4 linked regions of the Saccharomyces cerevisiae S288C genome follow. The gene in region 3 interacts genetically with the main gene of each other region. Each region holds a gene or a part of one and is shown on either strand. Other genes may lie near its edges.

Region 1 (4,873 bases), on a different chromosome or scaffold from region 3:
GGATGAACGACTTCCTAGTTGTGGCCCTAACGGTGGCTGCTGAAAAAGCTCTCATTTTCAAATATTCAACTTACTCTTCCACAATATGTCCTTGTACTTTGGATCTAAAGCGGCACTTGGAAACTTATTATTGTTTTCAAATGCTTACGGTAATACCACGGTATATTGTTCTGGTTCAGCTGCAGCAGGCGTTATGTATAACTCATGGGAGTTACGTTTGCTTCAAACGTAAACTCGCTGGAAATTGCGTTGCGAGGTATTAAAATATCACTGAATACGTATGCCAAATACAAAGACATGTAAGACATTAAATGCTAATCCTGCTGATTAAATTAATATATCTATATATTCAAATTAAGTTTGTCGTCAAGCTGTATAAAGCCATACATTTTAGTTAGGCTATCCTGGGTATGAATCTTGTATGGAGGAAAATTTTTTTATGGAAAATGCGAAATAAAGTAAAATAAACTTAATCATGTTCGCAAAAAATTGCTTATTGATTAATCTTTCCAGCACTTCCTCACGAATTTTTCCATATTGACATTTTTTTTCATTTGACCCTTTATCCAAGGATGATTGATCATTTGTCTTGGAGATGGCCGTTCACGACTATCTTTTTTCAGACAGTAGTCGATAAAGGATTTGAATGATGGACTCCATATGATATTAGATTCGGGTTCATCCTTTAATTCAGGAGTAAATGTTAAAATCCACATTAACAATTCAAAGGGAGCTATATTGGCTGCCATCTTCTCGGAAGAGCATGGAAATTTCCCGTTCGCCACTTCCAAAATCGTTAATCCAAGTGACCATACATCAGATGTGACACTGTATGGTTGACCTTGAATCCTTTCTGGAGCCATATAGAATGACGTCCCCGTGAATGTTGTGGCTAGCGAGTTAACGGCTTCTCCACTGACCCCAAAATCACAAAGTTTCACCTGACCATTTTCATTCAGTAAAATATTCTGGGGCTTAATATCTCTATGAATAACTTTTTTTTCATGCAAATATGATAGTCCTCTTAGTACCGCTTCTGCAATCTTCCCCAGGACTTTTTCACTGATCCTACCACCACGCTCTAACAAATTTTTATAAATAGCATCCAACGATCGCCCACCCATGTACTCCATAGCAATATAAATTGAAGAGTTTTCGTCATCCGTAAACATTCCATAATATCGTACGATATATTCGGATTGGAAACTCCTATTAAACTGTAATTCTCTGAATATTTGCTTCTGATACTCGGGATCTGTATTTAATGTGTTTATCACTTTTAAAGCGAATATTTTTGATCCATTTTTCAATTTACACTTGGAAACAGAGCCACCGGCTCCTTCTCCTAGAATGCCTAATGTCTCGATCCTATCTTTTAAATTTGCATATTTCCAACCATTTTCATCCAATTGATCAACATCTCGTACACTGTTTAAGTCTATGTACGATTCAGAAGATGATTTAGGCTGGGACGATGACTTGATGGGACTTGAACTTTGTTCATATGCCGATATCAAATTTGAAAAGTCAGATCCCACTGAATTGCTCAGATCATTTCTGAGGTAGGGAGAAGAGGTGTTTGTATGTGAAAAGGGGCTTGCCATCGATGAAGGGGTTAAGTCACTATTACCAGACAACTCATTTTCGGCTATCACACGCTGTTTCAATCCTAAATCATGTTTACCATCAGACACATCGGCGATGGGTACGAGTTCGGGTAGTGTTTTGCACTTAGACTGTGAATTTATGCTGAGCGAAGGTAAAGATGGCGGTGCAGGCCTCTTCTTCATTGTATTTAAAGTCATTGAAGAGTCGCTAGGATGAAGTCGAGTTTGGGAGAAAAGTGTCGATGTGGAAGAGGTCAGTGGTTCTGGGGTGTGGCTACTGTAAGCTGTGGTGGAACTCCCATTCGACGTCAAGTATATATTATTTTCATCTACCTGATTATTTCGTAAGAGGGGCAGTTTAAGTCTAGGAGAGTTTGGGTTGCATTTCGCAGATTCTGGGGGTCTGAACAGTGAAGCCATACTGGGCAAATTGTGCAATGGAAGGATAGAGTTAATTTGGTCTATGTACACTGCGAGAAATACGCAACCATAAATGAAACGCAAGTTATGAAAAACCGGATCCAACCCTACCAGAGACCAACTTTCTTTTTAAATTGTGCCAAATTTTTGCTGCCCTTTAAAATAGAACTTCCTTATTCTGAGCCGTCACACGCCTTAATGATAATCAGTCGATCCGATTTTTCAATTGTCGCAATGACCTGAGAAATATAATTGCTCGTGTATAGTGACTTATTCGCCAGCAGGTGTACGGTATCTTTCATCAGTAGTAAGTATTGTTTAATTAAATATTGAATAATAAATATACTAACAGTAGCTCATACATAACTTTAGGCGCGCACTTTCATCACACAGGGTAAAGAAACCAGCCCTGGGTGAGAAAAACTAATAATAGTTAAAAGCATTAAATATATAAATATGGCCTTGTTCCGCGCGTTTAGCATGGCGACTATTCGCTTTCCTCGGTATAGGGCTTGTAGATGCTGACTAAACTATCGTCATCGACAGTACCAACCAAGTTTTCAATAACTGGATGCCAAGCGGCGGTGTTTCTTCTTCCAATCTGTTTTGGAGATCTTCTGCTTCCACCCTTGTGCAAGAATCTCAGAGATTTTGTTTGTGATTCTTCAGTGGCATCTTGAGGAGGAGCAATGGTATCGTCAGGATTGTACTTTGACAAGGAATAGTCAGTGTTCCAGTGGTAAATATTACCAGTGCCGCCCACAGTAAAGAATTCAGAGCTTGAAGTGGCAGAAAATTGGACGTCGACAACAGAATCACCGCCGGCATGATAGAAGTTAGCGATTTCATTCTGAATTGGATCTTCACCGTTTTGTCTATAAGTCAAATCAGTGGTGGCAGCTTCAGCCGCTCTGGCATCCCATAACTTGATAATACCCGTACTGAAACCGGTAACAAACAAGTTGTTGGAAACCTGAGAGCAATCAAACGAGGTCAATTTTCCGTTCTTTGGTTCTCCCAACACCCATATAGGCTTGTCGGAAGTTCTAGTGTCCCAGAACCTCAGAATATTGTCATCTGAACAAGACGCAAAGATATGATTGTCGAAAAATCTTACGGTGTGAGTCACAGTGGTACCAGGCACATGAACAGTACGTAGAATCTCACCAGGCTTACCGGCATTGTCAATGATTTTCAAAATACTGTCTTCTTCATCACCATTACTCTGAGACTTCACAATGGTTTCGGTATCATTGGAAATGCCGAAGTCAGAGATGGCTAATGAGAAATCCTTTTCAGGTAGATCACCAGGTCTGGTTAAAGAATGGATGCTGGCATAGCTGGTTGCTGGACCCATCAATTCCTGTACAATGTGAATAGGGACCTTTATACCCTCTTTGAACCAAGCCAACGACCCGTTCTTAGACATCGACAATAATGTAGTTTCTCCAGTCTTATCTAAGTAGGCCATTTTGGAGACAGTTTCACCCTGGTACACGAATTTTGGGCTCAACGAGGTGTTTTCAATACCTTCAAAGGCGTCACCATAGTCTTTCACCGGTTCTGAAGCGGCTTCTTGTAGTGGTACAGCGAAGTCAATTTCGTAGATATCACTACCTTGAGAGTATATAACACTTGAGGTTAGAGTGTTATTTTTTTTATCTGGAACAACAACGTTGCTGAACGTCAAGGACTTCCTTTGGTGCAGAACATTGTCCACACGAGACACAAATTTTGGTCTTAAGCTGGAGATATGTTCATAAGTGGAAGGCGTAGATGATTTCCAAACCTTTTTTGGCATTTTTGGTTGTAATGTATAGTGTGTTACAATTTATTTGTATCTTTCAAGATTGGTTGATTAATAATTAATTTTCTTATCTAATATCTACAATTCAGGCGAATATAAACTTTTCGGATCTTCTTTTTTCCCTCCCTTTATACTGGAAGCTACAGAACTGAAAAAAAAAAAAAAAAAACATAGAACATTAAGGGGACAGACTGCATGGAAAAGGAAAAGGTAAAAAAAAGCCCCGAAATGGTACTCTTAAATATGAGATGATAAACGAGGATTCGAAGGAAAATAGCCCAACTATCTACGAGTTGAAATTAAAAGGGAGTAGTGAGCGCCACTATGTGTGCTCACTGTGTATAGCTAAGCAATTACATAAGGGATAGTACATAAACCACCGTATGTTAGGAAAGAGGAAAAAAAGGAAAGACAAAGGTCTTTTGCCTATTGTATGACTTAGCCTTTCTTTGTTATACCCCGGCGCGTTCCAAAAAGGGAAGCCAGCACAGCACCGCATATTGAATACCGCCTTCTCACGTGGTACAGGCACAACTATCTTGCATGTGCCTCTGGGTCTTTCTTAGCGACAGCCTTTTAAGATTCTGAATTGTAAACATCGAGCTTCATCCGAGAAACGAAAGAGGGAATCTTGAAATGGACTATGTCACCATTAGATCCTCCCTCTTCTCCATATAGCCGGTTTTTGTCTTATTTCTTTGCTGGAAAGAAAAAAAAGAAATTGCTTGGTTAATTACTGGTAACCCTCTTTTCTTGAGGCCTTACTTCGTTGGCTTCAGAAATCTGAAAGAGTCTTTATTAGGAGCGATACCAGTATCTATACAACATTATACCATCACTATATATTACAAAAAAAAAAATAACCCCGATAGCGTGCTAGAAATGAATAAAAAAAAAAAAAACAGAATTATGTACGTGAATGCTTGTGAGTTACTGCCTTTCCCATAGGTGGTAACGTTAATTTCTTACTCTTTTTTTTTTTTAATCGTCGTAACCTCTGCCAATGAAGTCACTGGCCAGAAATGGTTTGTAGGCAGTA
Region 2 (4,267 bases), on a different chromosome or scaffold from region 3:
GTATCTAACCGAAAGTTCAAAAAAGTCAAGCAAAATGGGAGGGTAGAGATTAACATGGGCATACAATATCACCAAATTGTACTTATTTTACTACTGAATATTTTGTTCTATGTAATTTGCCTAAGATCAAGATTTCTCGAACATATTAATAGAACTTTTGAAGTGACAATCGCGCGAAGTTTCCAGATCTTAATTATAATGGGATTGTTTGCCTTAGGTACAATTATACTTGTGAGGGGACCTAGTGTGGAAACTGTAACAATTTTCAAAGAAAGTGGACTACAGCTGTCCAGAGTGAAGGGTATGGTTATATTTCCTCAACAATGGAATCGGAAGTTCTTTGAACAAGTAGAGTTTATATCCAATGAAAGAATTATTGATGTAGTGATCAATGAAGGATTCTGTCGGGGATTTCGAGTGATATTCTATCTTGCAGCAATTGTACGTAAATCGTCTACGCTTAAGCTATTATTTCCAGTATGTATTCAAGCGAATTTAAGATTGTTTCTTACTTCAACGATCTGATTAGAAATACTAACACAACAATGCAGTCAAATTTGCCCAGTATCGATGACCAACGTCTAATATACAACATATCTAGAAAATATCTCAGTAAGCAAGAAAAACCCCTGAGCAGACCAAAAGATTGAACATCAAATTATCATTACAGAAAATCTTGAGACATTTTGGTATATACTTATATTTTAGTGTATGTTTATATATAATTATAGATAAGAATTTGAACACACTTAAGTTGCAGAACAAAAAAAAGGGGAATTGTTTTCATTACATGGTAGATAATTTGTTGATGATTTCATTCGTGAAGTCAGTAGTAGAAGAGGAACCACCAATATCTCTAGTGGTATGCTTACCTTCTGCGATCGTTTCATGAACTGCCTTTGAGATTCTAGTAGCATATTCATTCAAACCCAAATGGTTCAACATTAACGTGGAGGAAAGGATCATGGCAGTTGGGTTAGCCACATTTTGGCCTTTAATATCTAAACCAACATGTCTGGAACCTGGTTCGAAGACAGCATAGTCCCTGCCAAAGTTGGCACCTGCCACCAATCCTGGACCACCGATCAAAGCAGCGCCAATGTTGCCTAAGATGGTACCGTACATTGAAGGGGTAACTAGGACATCAAATTGATGAGGTTTGGCCACCGCCTGCATGGAGGCATTGTCGACAATGATGGACGATACGTCAATATCAGGATATTCTTTTTGGCCAATTTCAGTTATTATATTTCTGAACAGACCGTCACCTAACTTCATGATATTTGCCTTATGCACAGCTGTGACAGACTTTCTGTTGTATTTCTTGGCGAAGTCAAAGGCAAATCTGGCGATCCTTTCTGTCTTAGGTCTAGTCATAACTTTCAAAGATTCCACTACACCAGGGACGGATTCATGTTCCAGGCCTGAGAACTCACCCTCCGTGTTTTCTCTAATGACAATCAAATCTATGTCTGGAATTCTAGTCTTGACACCCTTCAAGGATTTGAAAAGGGCCACATTGGCGTAGATATCTAGTTGTTTACGCAAAGCAACGTTTAGTGAACCGTGACCTGTTTGGTCAGCAGGAGTGTGCCATAGCCCCTTAAGACCAATCTTATTTCTCTTTAGAGACTCAACAGCTTCATAGACGCCTTCCTTATGATCTGTTTGCTTAATGTTTATAGTTTCCCAGTCGATCGGGATATTTTCAGCCTCAAAAATGGTTCTCACTGAATCAGTGATTTCTTTCCCAACACCGTCACCAGGTATCAAAGTGACGGTGAAACGACCGCCATACTTCTTGGGTAGGGTGCGTTCCGCCTGAGCGGCAGTGGCTAAAGTTCTCTTAGCAATTGTTCTGTTAAGCATTTTTCTCTTACAATTATGGAGGAAAAGGGAGAAGAATGAGGATAGGGAGAATAATGAACCTTGATTGTTACCAGTAATATTAAGGTACTGTTGAAATAGATCTACGGTAGAGTAAAGAAATCAATCAATCAAGAATAAGCCAATGAAGCGGAAGAAAACAAGAAAAAAGACCTATGGAAAATATAGATAGTCCTATGTGCTCACCCACATAAAACACTTATATATATATTCAGTGTAGGCATGTATTGTACGGGGATATATATATGAGGGTCTTCCTTTAATCGCTAAATAACAATACCGAGCTACCAAAAAAAATAAAAGAAGGTTTCTGCAATATGGTTGGTTGATGAGTGACCTATGACGCCCGATGCTCGGAGAAGGTGGTCAGGCACACGTGATTCACCTAAACTCGGCGCCGAAAAAAATTTGATCAGCCGTACAGTGTGATTGTTATCACGTGATAGTAACGTAAGTCACGTGCTTTCTAACCATCACCCCGCACGAACGTTCGTTCCCGTTTCGATGTTGACGTCAGAATGAGCTAACTTGACGCCACTGAATTAATTCGCATTGTCACCATGACGCTTATCAAGCCGAAAAAATTACTAGTGATTCCTTCCTCCCCCTCTCTCGATGAGTAATTTTGAAATGAACAAGTAGGCTGACATAGAGTACTATAAATACTTAGGAAGTAATGATTCTCGAGGATAGGTAAGAGCTGTCCTCTTCTAATTCTTGTTCGTTTTCTTCTGAAAACCCCAACCACATCAACTACAGCTAAGACTACAAATTTCAATTATTACACATCAGAATGAGCGCTACCGAATCTTCATCTATATTCACATTGAGTCACAACTCAAACCTACAAGATATCTTGGCCGCCAATGCCAAATGGGCCTCCCAGATGAACAACATACAGCCAACTTTGTTCCCAGATCACAATGCGAAGGGCCAGTCCCCTCACACTCTTTTCATCGGCTGCTCCGATTCGCGTTACAACGAAAACTGTTTAGGTGTCTTGCCCGGCGAAGTGTTCACTTGGAAAAATGTTGCTAACATATGTCACTCAGAGGATTTAACTTTGAAGGCCACTTTAGAGTTTGCCATTATTTGTCTAAAAGTTAACAAAGTTATTATTTGTGGCCACACTGATTGTGGTGGTATAAAGACATGTTTAACTAACCAAAGGGAAGCCTTACCAAAAGTTAACTGTTCTCATCTGTACAAGTACTTAGACGATATTGACACCATGTACCATGAAGAGTCACAAAATTTGATCCATTTGAAAACGCAACGTGAAAAATCTCATTACCTGTCGCACTGTAACGTCAAAAGGCAGTTTAATAGGATTATTGAAAACCCTACTGTGCAAACTGCTGTACAAAATGGAGAATTACAGGTATACGGTCTGCTTTACAACGTAGAGGACGGTCTACTGCAAACAGTTAGCACTTACACAAAAGTTACCCCAAAATAGTTTTAGCCTCACCGATATACTTATATAATATTCATTGAAATAGAAAGACATTTACAAAGTAGACGGGGATATTTAGCCCCACTCATATAAATTATGCATTATAACTTTTATAAAAAAAAAGAAATCACACTTAAATAAATGTCTTAATTGCACATTCCATGTTCAGATATACACTATCTTACCTTTTGAATAGGAATGATGGAAAAAAAATTATGCTTCCAATCGGATTTGAACCGATGATCTCCACATTACTAGTGTGGCGCCTTACCAACTTGGCCATAGAAGCCCGTTATTACGGTCTGTGATCCAGCAAATGTCAGATATAACGAATTGAAGTTGCTTTTCCCATCAATGTTTGTCAAGTTGAAACGCTGTAGCACACACTAAGCATTAACGACTATATTACAAGTAAAGCATCAAATGATTACTTAAAAGAGTAATCGCAAACTATATTGAAGTTGGCAAAGGCACATGATCCAAATGGTAACGATAACAACATATATGAAAAGTAGTGTTCTAGGAAACTTCGATAGGGGAGAAAGTACGTAAAAAAAATAATTTTGAGTTGGATTCGAAGTTCCATTAATATCTTGGATAATTAAGTTTGCTGCGTGAGAGACAGGCAGATTCGGCTTCACAGGAATAAACTCCTATAATTTAAAGGAACTTGTTAGTGTTAGCACTATAAGTAAGAAAAAGTAAATTCTGGCAGTGTTGCTTTTAATCGCAATAATATTTGATTTACATTCAAACAGTTTCATATACCTCTTTGATAGAACATATTTGCATATGTGTTTATTTGTTTTTTATTTTTTTTTGATTACTTCTTTTCAAAAACTAAATGTGAACAAAGAAGAAAAAGGAGTATAAAAGAATAAATAATAGCGGTATTACGTGTGTTGGAAAAAGAATCATAGATCG
Region 3 (4,374 bases):
ACTGGCGTAGAAGGGGAAACGGAAATAGGGTCTGACGAGGAAGATAGCATAGAGGACGAGGGAAGCAGCAGTGGAGGAAATAGTACGACAGAAAGACTAGTACCACACCAGCTGAGGGAACAAGCAGCCAGACATATAGGAAAAATAGGAAGACATTTTAATATTCTTGATAGACTTTTTAAGAAACGTACACAACAGTCTTCGGATATACAACAAGGTGCCATGTTTGATGGTGTCTTTAGCAATTTAAGCGCAAAACCAGATACCACAGAGACTGAAGGTAATAACGAACAAGACATACCACCTACATACGACGAAGCTGCTGCTGATATGGCCCCCTCGTATTATGGAATGGATTTGAACAATTCAGATATCTACTACGACGAAATATGCATTGAGGGGCTTCCTGTAGGAAATATAGCAAATTTATTATGGAATATCATCGTAAGCACGAGTTTTCAGTTCATTGGATTTTTAATAACCTACATTTTACACACATCTCACGCAGCAAAGCAAGGTTCAAGGTTTGGATTAGGGTTAACGTTCATTGGATATGGTTATTCAATGATTCCCAATGATGTTACTTCAAAAGTCGGCAAAAATAAAAGCTTAAATAGAATGGAATTAGAGGATCCAAATGAATTCGATGATGTTCGTCTAAATTCACAATCAACGACACAAGATAAATTTGAATCACATTTGAATCACGGTCTGGATGAAGAAAAACAAAACATACCATGGTTGGCTGTTTTTGTGGCATTTCTTGGGCTATTTATCACCCTGAAGAGTATATACGACTACATTCAAGTCAAAAAATTGGAAAAGAAATACCTCAACCAAAGTCAAAATCAAGCATAAGCCATCTTCTTCATTATGATAAAAAGAGATATATAACTTTTTTAAGTGATCGGCTGGTAAATAGACTTATAACGAGTAGAAAACATTAGATGATATATTGTACACAATAATACATTTCAGGCTAGCATAACTAAGACCTTTTCATAGATAGTGAAAACAATACCACCACTCAAGACCAATCTCCCAAGTCTAGGCGTAGCACCTTTCCAAAACGTCTTTAACCCTTCTTCTTTGAAAATGGTTGCAAAACAATTCATTGTAGAGGAGTATTTGGTGGAATCCAAACTTTGCATTCTTGTTTTCACAGTATCAAGGGGCATGGTGGAATAGACCGTCACAATACCACTAAATGCACCCACTAAGAAGGTTAACCCGGATGATAAAGGTTTGTCTTTTGGCGAATCCGTATAATCTTGGATCAAGGTCTTAATCTTATTGTAACAACCCAATCTAACGGCTTGGTTTGCGGCCTGTCTCATGGAAACTGGCAAAACACCACGATAAAGACCAGAAAATCCTTTATCACGGACTAATGATGAATAGTTTCGTACTACACCGCGCCCATTATTATGGTATTTTGGTGTAGCAGATTGTTTATCATCGATCAAAGCAGTTTTGATTGCTTCAAAAGGAGTCACTGCGGCAACACTTTCTAATAGTCCCGCACCTAACCCAGCTATCACCCCTCTTGTACCACTTAGTTCTCCAGTTTCACTATCTCTTAGCATGTCTTTAATGGTATCAAAGCCAAGAAATCTAATACCCGCCTTAGCGGTGTTTCCAATAATAAATGCGGGACATCCGACATAAATGGAACCAATGCCCTGAGTTTTTGCAGTTTTATATATCAATACCAGAGGATTTCTTGATGCCTTGGAGGCCTTATCAATCAGCTGCAGCCTTGTTTTGGCAAACTCAAAAGGATATGTTATACATGCTTCAGCAGCACCGGCTAGGGACCCTGCCAGAAACGAGTGCAATGGATCTACGTCACTTTTGGTAGCTTTACTGGACATCGGTAAAATGCTAATTTATAATTCAAGCTCTACTTTGGAGTTCTTTCATTGTGACATCAAAATGTTTTTAATTTTACGTTGGCTTCGACATTTTACGTTTTATATATCACGCTAAAGTGAGACTAAATTTCATTGTTCTTCTTTTTTTTTTTTTTCACTTCTAATAATTGAAAATTCCGCAGGAATTCTTCCATATTCTTGACTCTTCAGTAAGACTAACTTAATGGAAATAGAGAAAATAGTACATATTTGAAAAAAAAAAAAGAGGTGTTGAAATGATTTGAGAATATTAAATAGCTTACAAGCGTTAGCCGAGTTCCCAGACAGCAGAGTTTCTACCCTGTGCTCTTTGTTGGCGGCTTTATTGATGAGGAATATAAAAATGTAATTAGGCAAACCTACGCGCGAAAATATAAGAAGCAAAGATATAAAGTGTAGTATATTTGAATATTTACATGAACGAAACGGCGACGTATAATGGTAATCGGCTGGGAACTTCATTAAAAAGTCAAGATGTAAGTTACCTCTTAGTAAGAAGAGTTATTGCAGCAAGCTTAGTATCAATAGGGAGACTCTGTCATGTAAAAAAATAAATGAACACAATCATAACCTCTTCGACTGGGCTATTCGTTGTATAGTATATGTGGTGGAGTGTAATGAATGAAGTTCTCAGAAGCTTGAAAGCATATCAAAATCACGTATTGACTATGACAGATTCTTGTTTCTTGCTCCATTACTCCATTCGAGTTTTTCACAACTTTTGTCGTTCGTCTATAACATCTCTTTTTTTTCCCACTCTTCTAAAATATTGGCATAGCTGACATGTTTGGAACCGAATAAGCAATTACAATACGACAGTAAAATAAAAGCATGTTATTGCTGCTTGTAGAGAATTCCTGCATATGTAACTTTCTCATTCCGACGGGATAAGTTCATAAACTAATCAGCGATGAGTTGCGGAAAATTCGTCAATAGAATATTTTCCAGTCAGTGGTGGTCCCAGTGGCCTGCAACCTAATGGCTATAGTTCTGGATAATAAATTGGGCAAAGGTCAGTATAAAGAATGAATGTATCAGGCCGTAATTGAAGCTTTCAAGTCCAGGTGAAAGGCCAAATCGACAATTAGCGAAAACAGGATTTTTTTACCAACTTGAAATAGTGACTGCTGTCTTTTTGCCTGATTAAGTGGTTATATATTTCAACTAATATCACAACAAAAGGCCTCTCAAAATTTGTGGCGAAGTGTACATCCTGGGTGCTCAGGTAAGCGTCGTCTTCGTATTTTTTTTTTTTCAACAGTAGTTTGGAAATAATGCTCTTCGAGGAATGCGAGCGGAAATGTTATCCACTGTATAAGTCGATATTTTAAGGGACGCTAAATATATCATCATAGCTCGTCTATTGGTGGCTTCTCCAATTGCACTTTCAATGCATTATGGTAAAGTGTGGTGATAAGGCATAGTGATGTTTACAGAGGTCTGTTGGTTTCTCTGGGCTCGCTCATCATCCGACCAGTAACCTTGTGGGGTTTCACATATTGTTCTATGCATTATTATCACGGATTTGTGCCTGCAAATGCTGTTTCTTTGGCTTTTCTTTCTAAAAAAATTATGATATATATATTGTTCCTCCTTGTTTAACAGGCTTTACGGTATTGTGGATCCTAGTAATAGGCGTACTTTTCTTCATTTACATATTTGAACAATATATGTCTCACAAGTAGTTGACCGAATAGCGTTACGTAAGGGTCAAAAACCTTTTCAGAATTGTATATATGACATTTTTAGAACATGATATAATAAACAGAATATAAAAGAAAATAGAGACGACGTACCATGGCATGAAGAATTGTACTGATATCACATTGTGTTGAGCACTGATAGATTAATACTATATTTCTGCTAGGTGCGGGGGGTAACATGTCCTAATGTGTGGCAACCACATTCTAAGGCTCGGTAAGTGATGCGATATATGTGCATGTGTGGCTTTCTTCCTAATTTGCTATTAGATGATTGTGTGCAAATCCACAGAAATATACAATTTCGAGAATATATATACTAGTTATCGTTATAAGAACACACAGTATTGGCCAATTCTTGCCTCTGAATGGTACAAAATGCTTTAAAATGTAGTAAATGAAACATTAATTCCAAATCAGATTTTTTTTCGCAATGCTTAAATCTAGTAAACACAAAGTACTACCGAAAAGCAAGGATGGAAACTATGGCAGTATTGAAGAGACTGAAATTCCTTCTGTCGACTACAGTGAAGACTTAGATGAGGACTTGGACAAAGGCGAAGATATAGCGCTTTCAAGAATCCCAAATTGATGGATTATTGAAGCTACTCTTTTTTCTAATGTCTTTTTGTCCGGTTTTGACGGAACCGTTACAGCTTCGACGTACCAAACGATTGGTAACGAATTTAATCAGATGAGTATTTCAAATTGGATCACCACTGCGTATTTAATTACATCAACATCTTTTCAACCTCTTTATG
Region 4 (4,540 bases), on a different chromosome or scaffold from region 3:
TACTATGGAAAAAACTATTAAAAACCATTATAATTCATTAATGACATCGGTCCTGAGGTAGTATTACGTATAACTTACCTGGCTCTTGGTCATAGCTTTTTATCCGTTTACGAAAAAAGGAGAAGAAGATTGGGCTTCCGCGGCTATTGTTTGGTTTATACCCCGCCGTATGTTGGTGCTTCTATAATTAGAGCGAAATAGGAAATACAAAAAATCCTTGGAGGGGAGGACCAGCCTCATCGGGCTAAAACTCCCTCAAAACCGGAGGGGCAACCAAAGTATATATCTCATTATGGCCGATACTTCTAGAGGCGCACTAACAGAAGCACCTCAGCCCCTGCAGGTGAAAGAAAGAGGTAATTAATTTTCCGGTTACTTACTTTCTCTCGCTATTGGGGAAAGCGTTGGTTCGAGGCGTTGAGGTCGAAGACAATCATTGTTTTCTTCTTATTTAAGTACATCTTTAGAAGAAAATTACACAACTGGAATGAGTAAATCAATACTTGCTTTGTGTTCCCATTGTTAGATACTCTTGTTTTAGCATGTGATAGCAGTATATAATATAACCTGCAAAATAATCGAAACGCGTACACAGGAAAGAGTACATAAATAACCATAGTATATTTCTGGACATATCTTATTACACAACATAAAATAGAATGTTTAACATGAATCTACTTTCTACACCTTCTTCTGAAGAGGGTTCTCCACAGAATAGGTCATCTTCAATGTCTTCTGTTGAGGGCAAGAAGGATAGGGACACCTTTACTAATTTGCAAAACGAATTTGATGGTAAAGTATTTGGCGTCTCACTCGAGGAATCACTGAAAGTTGCTCAAGAGGAAGTAATTATCCAAAAAAGTACAAATGAAATTGGTTCCATACCGGTGGTAATAGCAAAAAGTGGGAAATACCTAAAAGAGAATGCATTAGACACAACAGGAATTTTCCGTATTGCGGGAAGCAATAAACGTGTTAGAGAGCTACAAGCTGTTTTCTCTAAACCGCCCGATTATGGTCGTAAATTTGAAGGATGGTGTGATTTCAATGTTCATGACATTGCAACTTTATTAAAAAGATATTTGAACTCATTAAGTGAGCCTTTGGTTCCCCTAGCATTATACGACATTTTTAGAAATCCAATATTAGAAAACCCAAAAATAAATGAGCACAAAGAACAAATCATTAAGGACTACGAAGATATTTATATGCTCTTACCACAACAAAATCGCCATTTAATACTTTATTTAGCCGCGCTCTTGAATTTATTTGCAAGAAATGAAAAGAAGAATTTAATGTCAGCAAGCAATTTAGCGGCCATCGTACAACCCTCACTTTTGTCTCATCCCAAGGATGAAATGTGCCCGAAAGAGTATGAGGCTTCCAGAACTGTCATCGAATTCCTCATACTACACGCTTCAGATATAATACCGAATACGGAAAAAGCGAATAAGGACACCATGCCGCATGCAGGAACAGTAGCAAAGTTTAACAACATTACCGTTCCTGAAATGGCTATTGACTCCGATGAAGAAGATTTTGTGCACCCTTCAATAGATGACCATATGCTTCCAAGGTCACGTGCACTTTCTGACTCCAACAATTTTACCATACATCATCATCATCATCATCATCATGCACTGTTTCCTAGCCCAATAGATTTTGATAACAATGGGCTTTCTGTACCGAGATCCTTTAAAGGTAGAACATTGAGTGCAGAGTCCCTTTCTCCCAGACTTAGTAAATTACTTGGGAACGTTGGAAACAGCAGCAATACTGGCATCAAAGACCCTACAGAAAGAGTTCCTAGAGGTGAACATAAAACCAAACACAAACAACGACAGTCATGGTTGAGAAGACTCACTAGCCCTTCTAGAACGCAGCCTTAGCTTCCTAAGCACTGTGATCTGCTAGTCGATTCCGAGGTTCGGCGAAGAAATTGTCGTTGCCCCGCCAGGGGCCTTTTGCGATACTCGGCGCTTCTTTCAGCAATCTCGGTCCGCATCTCGGCAAGGGGGGGCATGACACGGGCCGCTCTGGTTGGTCAGTTCCTATTTTCTGTAACTTCCATTGTTTGGTTAAAGAATATATAAGTTATTGAAAAGCTCATAGGTCCCTTATTATAGGCCCTAAGGTTTTAGTTTCTCATCATAGTCATATCAGAAAAACCCTCCTTCTAAAGTTTTCCTCTTTTCTTATTTCTTTTTCATTTATTATTCATATTTATATAAATATATATTCCAAGTGCATGACATTATTGGATACACTTTTTCTGAACCTGAATTACCTTGGTAGATAATAAGATACAGATCGGGAACGAACAACAATTATAATATTTTTTAATAATGTTGAGAAATACTTTTTTTAGAAACACCTCGAGGAGGTTTTTGGCTACTGTAAAGCAACCTTCAATCGGAAGATATACCGGCAAACCTAACCCTTCTACCGGCAAATACACGGTCTCGTTCATTGAAGGTGATGGTATCGGACCTGAAATTTCCAAGTCTGTAAAGAAAATCTTTAGTGCAGCAAACGTCCCCATAGAATGGGAATCTTGTGATGTTAGCCCTATCTTTGTCAACGGATTAACGACCATTCCTGACCCTGCCGTACAATCTATCACAAAAAACCTGGTTGCACTAAAAGGTCCACTAGCTACACCTATTGGTAAAGGTCACAGATCTTTGAATTTGACATTGAGAAAAACATTTGGGTTATTTGCCAACGTTCGTCCCGCAAAGTCTATTGAAGGTTTTAAGACCACTTACGAAAACGTTGATTTAGTTCTTATCAGAGAGAATACCGAAGGTGAATATTCTGGTATCGAACACATAGTTTGCCCTGGCGTTGTTCAATCTATTAAACTGATCACAAGAGATGCCTCTGAGCGAGTCATTAGATACGCTTTTGAATATGCAAGAGCCATCGGCAGACCAAGAGTTATTGTGGTACATAAATCTACTATCCAGAGATTAGCTGATGGTTTATTCGTTAATGTTGCCAAAGAACTATCCAAAGAGTATCCTGACCTTACTTTAGAAACTGAACTTATTGATAACAGTGTGTTAAAGGTGGTCACCAACCCATCTGCTTACACAGACGCTGTTTCTGTTTGTCCAAATCTATACGGTGATATCTTGTCCGACTTGAACTCTGGTTTGAGCGCCGGTTCTTTAGGTTTAACTCCATCTGCCAATATTGGTCATAAAATCTCGATCTTTGAAGCTGTCCATGGCTCTGCCCCTGATATTGCCGGTCAAGATAAAGCGAATCCAACTGCCCTACTTTTATCTTCAGTAATGATGTTAAACCACATGGGTCTAACGAATCATGCTGACCAAATTCAAAATGCAGTATTGTCTACTATCGCATCAGGTCCAGAAAACAGAACAGGTGACTTGGCTGGTACTGCTACTACTTCATCATTCACTGAAGCAGTCATCAAGAGATTATAAAAGTCCTATTCTTTTCCCTCTCAGGTTTTTTCACGCCTTGAAAACAAATGACTATCCGTTTAATATAATGATTTCTGAAAGATTATGAAGTAAAAAAAAGCAAAATGCTTAGATATATAATATATACATACAATAAAAATTCCGTATCTACTCCAAACTTCTATGGCTTTGTCCTCAATGTGTTCTGATGTTTATTTAATAGCCTGAAGTTTTTATTAAGTATGTATACTTTTCGATATTTATTCTTTTAATAATGCTACAGGAGACCATAAGTGATAACTCAAAATGTCCCTCAGTGGACTTGTAAACCAAAAAAAAAAAAAAAGAAAAAGAATTAAATATATTATGTGTAAAAAGAAAACACCACCGTGTGTTATGTATATTTTGTTTATGTCTATCTATCATCTATCCTGCTGGCAGTCAATGTTCACCTTACAAAATTAATCATTGAAATTATTGCTTCCCCTTATAGATGTACTGATAATCGTAAACCTCGTCAACAAGATTGCTATTCCTCTTCCACGAAGTTATTTCGTCCAAAATATCATCCAAGTTAAATAATCTAACGGTTGGATATATACCTTGGATTCTCGGCAAGCCTATACCAGCGGACCCACCGTAACATAACCACATCTCATTTTTTGACTGTAAGCAACAGTCATTATTATGTTCATGTCCGCAACTGACACCCTTTATATTCCAAAGACTCAGGATATCAAGGAAGCTTTTGTAATGTTTGCCATTGATCGTCATTGAAACTTGTCCTCTAGACCTTGGCGTATCTACTGTTAAGGTAGACCTCTCATTATACTGCCCAATAATAGGAAATAAACCATGAGGCCTATATTCCGATAATGGAAAATATTGAAATGCCAAGCCAAAGTCTATTTTCCCAATCAGGTCGTTATAATCTTGTAGGAAATTATTGACGGGCGCAAATGAATCAAAGACGAAAAATAAAGCCTCTGATGGGTTTGTTTCGTCTTCGGTATCAATGTCTCTTTCCAAAAGAGTATTCTTCGTGAGCTTCTTTTTAAATGAGACTTCTATGGCCATATGACCCTCTTCTGATGCAACGTTGTTAA

The links.
Region 1: mutations in CTP1 (region 3) and MKK1 together harm fitness more than expected from each alone (negative genetic interaction), as found in Saccharomyces cerevisiae (3 studies listed by BioGRID).
Region 2: mutations in CTP1 (region 3) and IDH1 together harm fitness more than expected from each alone (negative genetic interaction), as found in Saccharomyces cerevisiae (4 studies listed by BioGRID).
Region 4: mutations in CTP1 (region 3) and IDH2 together harm fitness more than expected from each alone (negative genetic interaction), as found in Saccharomyces cerevisiae (4 studies listed by BioGRID).

Annotation. Positions count from the first base shown.
Region 1 is NC_001147.6:769,755-774,627, reverse strand, and holds MKK1 (mitogen-activated protein kinase kinase MKK1), read right to left. Parts: upstream 2,028-4,873; coding exon 501-2,027; downstream 1-500. Other genes in the region: mitochondrial nucleotide exchange factor MGE1, read right to left, coding at 1-55; WTM1 (transcriptional modulator), read right to left, coding at 2,515-3,828; WTM2 (transcriptional modulator), read right to left, coding at 4,816-4,873. UniProt on the Saccharomyces cerevisiae protein: Involved in a signal transduction pathway that play a role in yeast cell morphogenesis and cell growth.
Region 2 is NC_001146.8:557,134-561,400, forward strand, and holds IDH1 (isocitrate dehydrogenase (NAD(+)) IDH1), read right to left. Parts: upstream 1,870-4,267; coding exon 787-1,869; downstream 1-786. Other genes in the region: phosphatidylinositol N-acetylglucosaminyltransferase GPI15, read left to right, coding at 1-477, 552-650; carbonate dehydratase NCE103, read left to right, coding at 2,681-3,346. UniProt on the Saccharomyces cerevisiae protein: Performs an essential role in the oxidative function of the citric acid cycle. Also binds RNA; specifically to the 5'-untranslated leaders of mitochondrial mRNAs.
Region 3 is NC_001134.8:782,699-787,072, forward strand, and holds CTP1 (Ctp1p), read right to left. Parts: upstream 1,875-4,374; coding exon 975-1,874; downstream 1-974. Other genes in the region: BSD2 (Bsd2p), read left to right, coding at 1-858; YBR292C (uncharacterized protein), read right to left, coding at 2,004-2,375; VBA2 (Vba2p), read left to right, coding at 4,308-4,374. UniProt on the Saccharomyces cerevisiae protein: Transport of citrate across inner mitochondrial membrane.
Region 4 is NC_001147.6:577,905-582,444, forward strand, and holds IDH2 (isocitrate dehydrogenase (NAD(+)) IDH2), read left to right. Parts: upstream 1-2,345; coding exon 2,346-3,455; downstream 3,456-4,540. Other genes in the region: GTPase-activating protein BAG7, read left to right, coding at 660-1,889; SIA1 (Sia1p), read right to left, coding at 3,909-4,540. UniProt on the Saccharomyces cerevisiae protein: Performs an essential role in the oxidative function of the citric acid cycle. Also binds RNA; specifically to the 5'-untranslated leaders of mitochondrial mRNAs.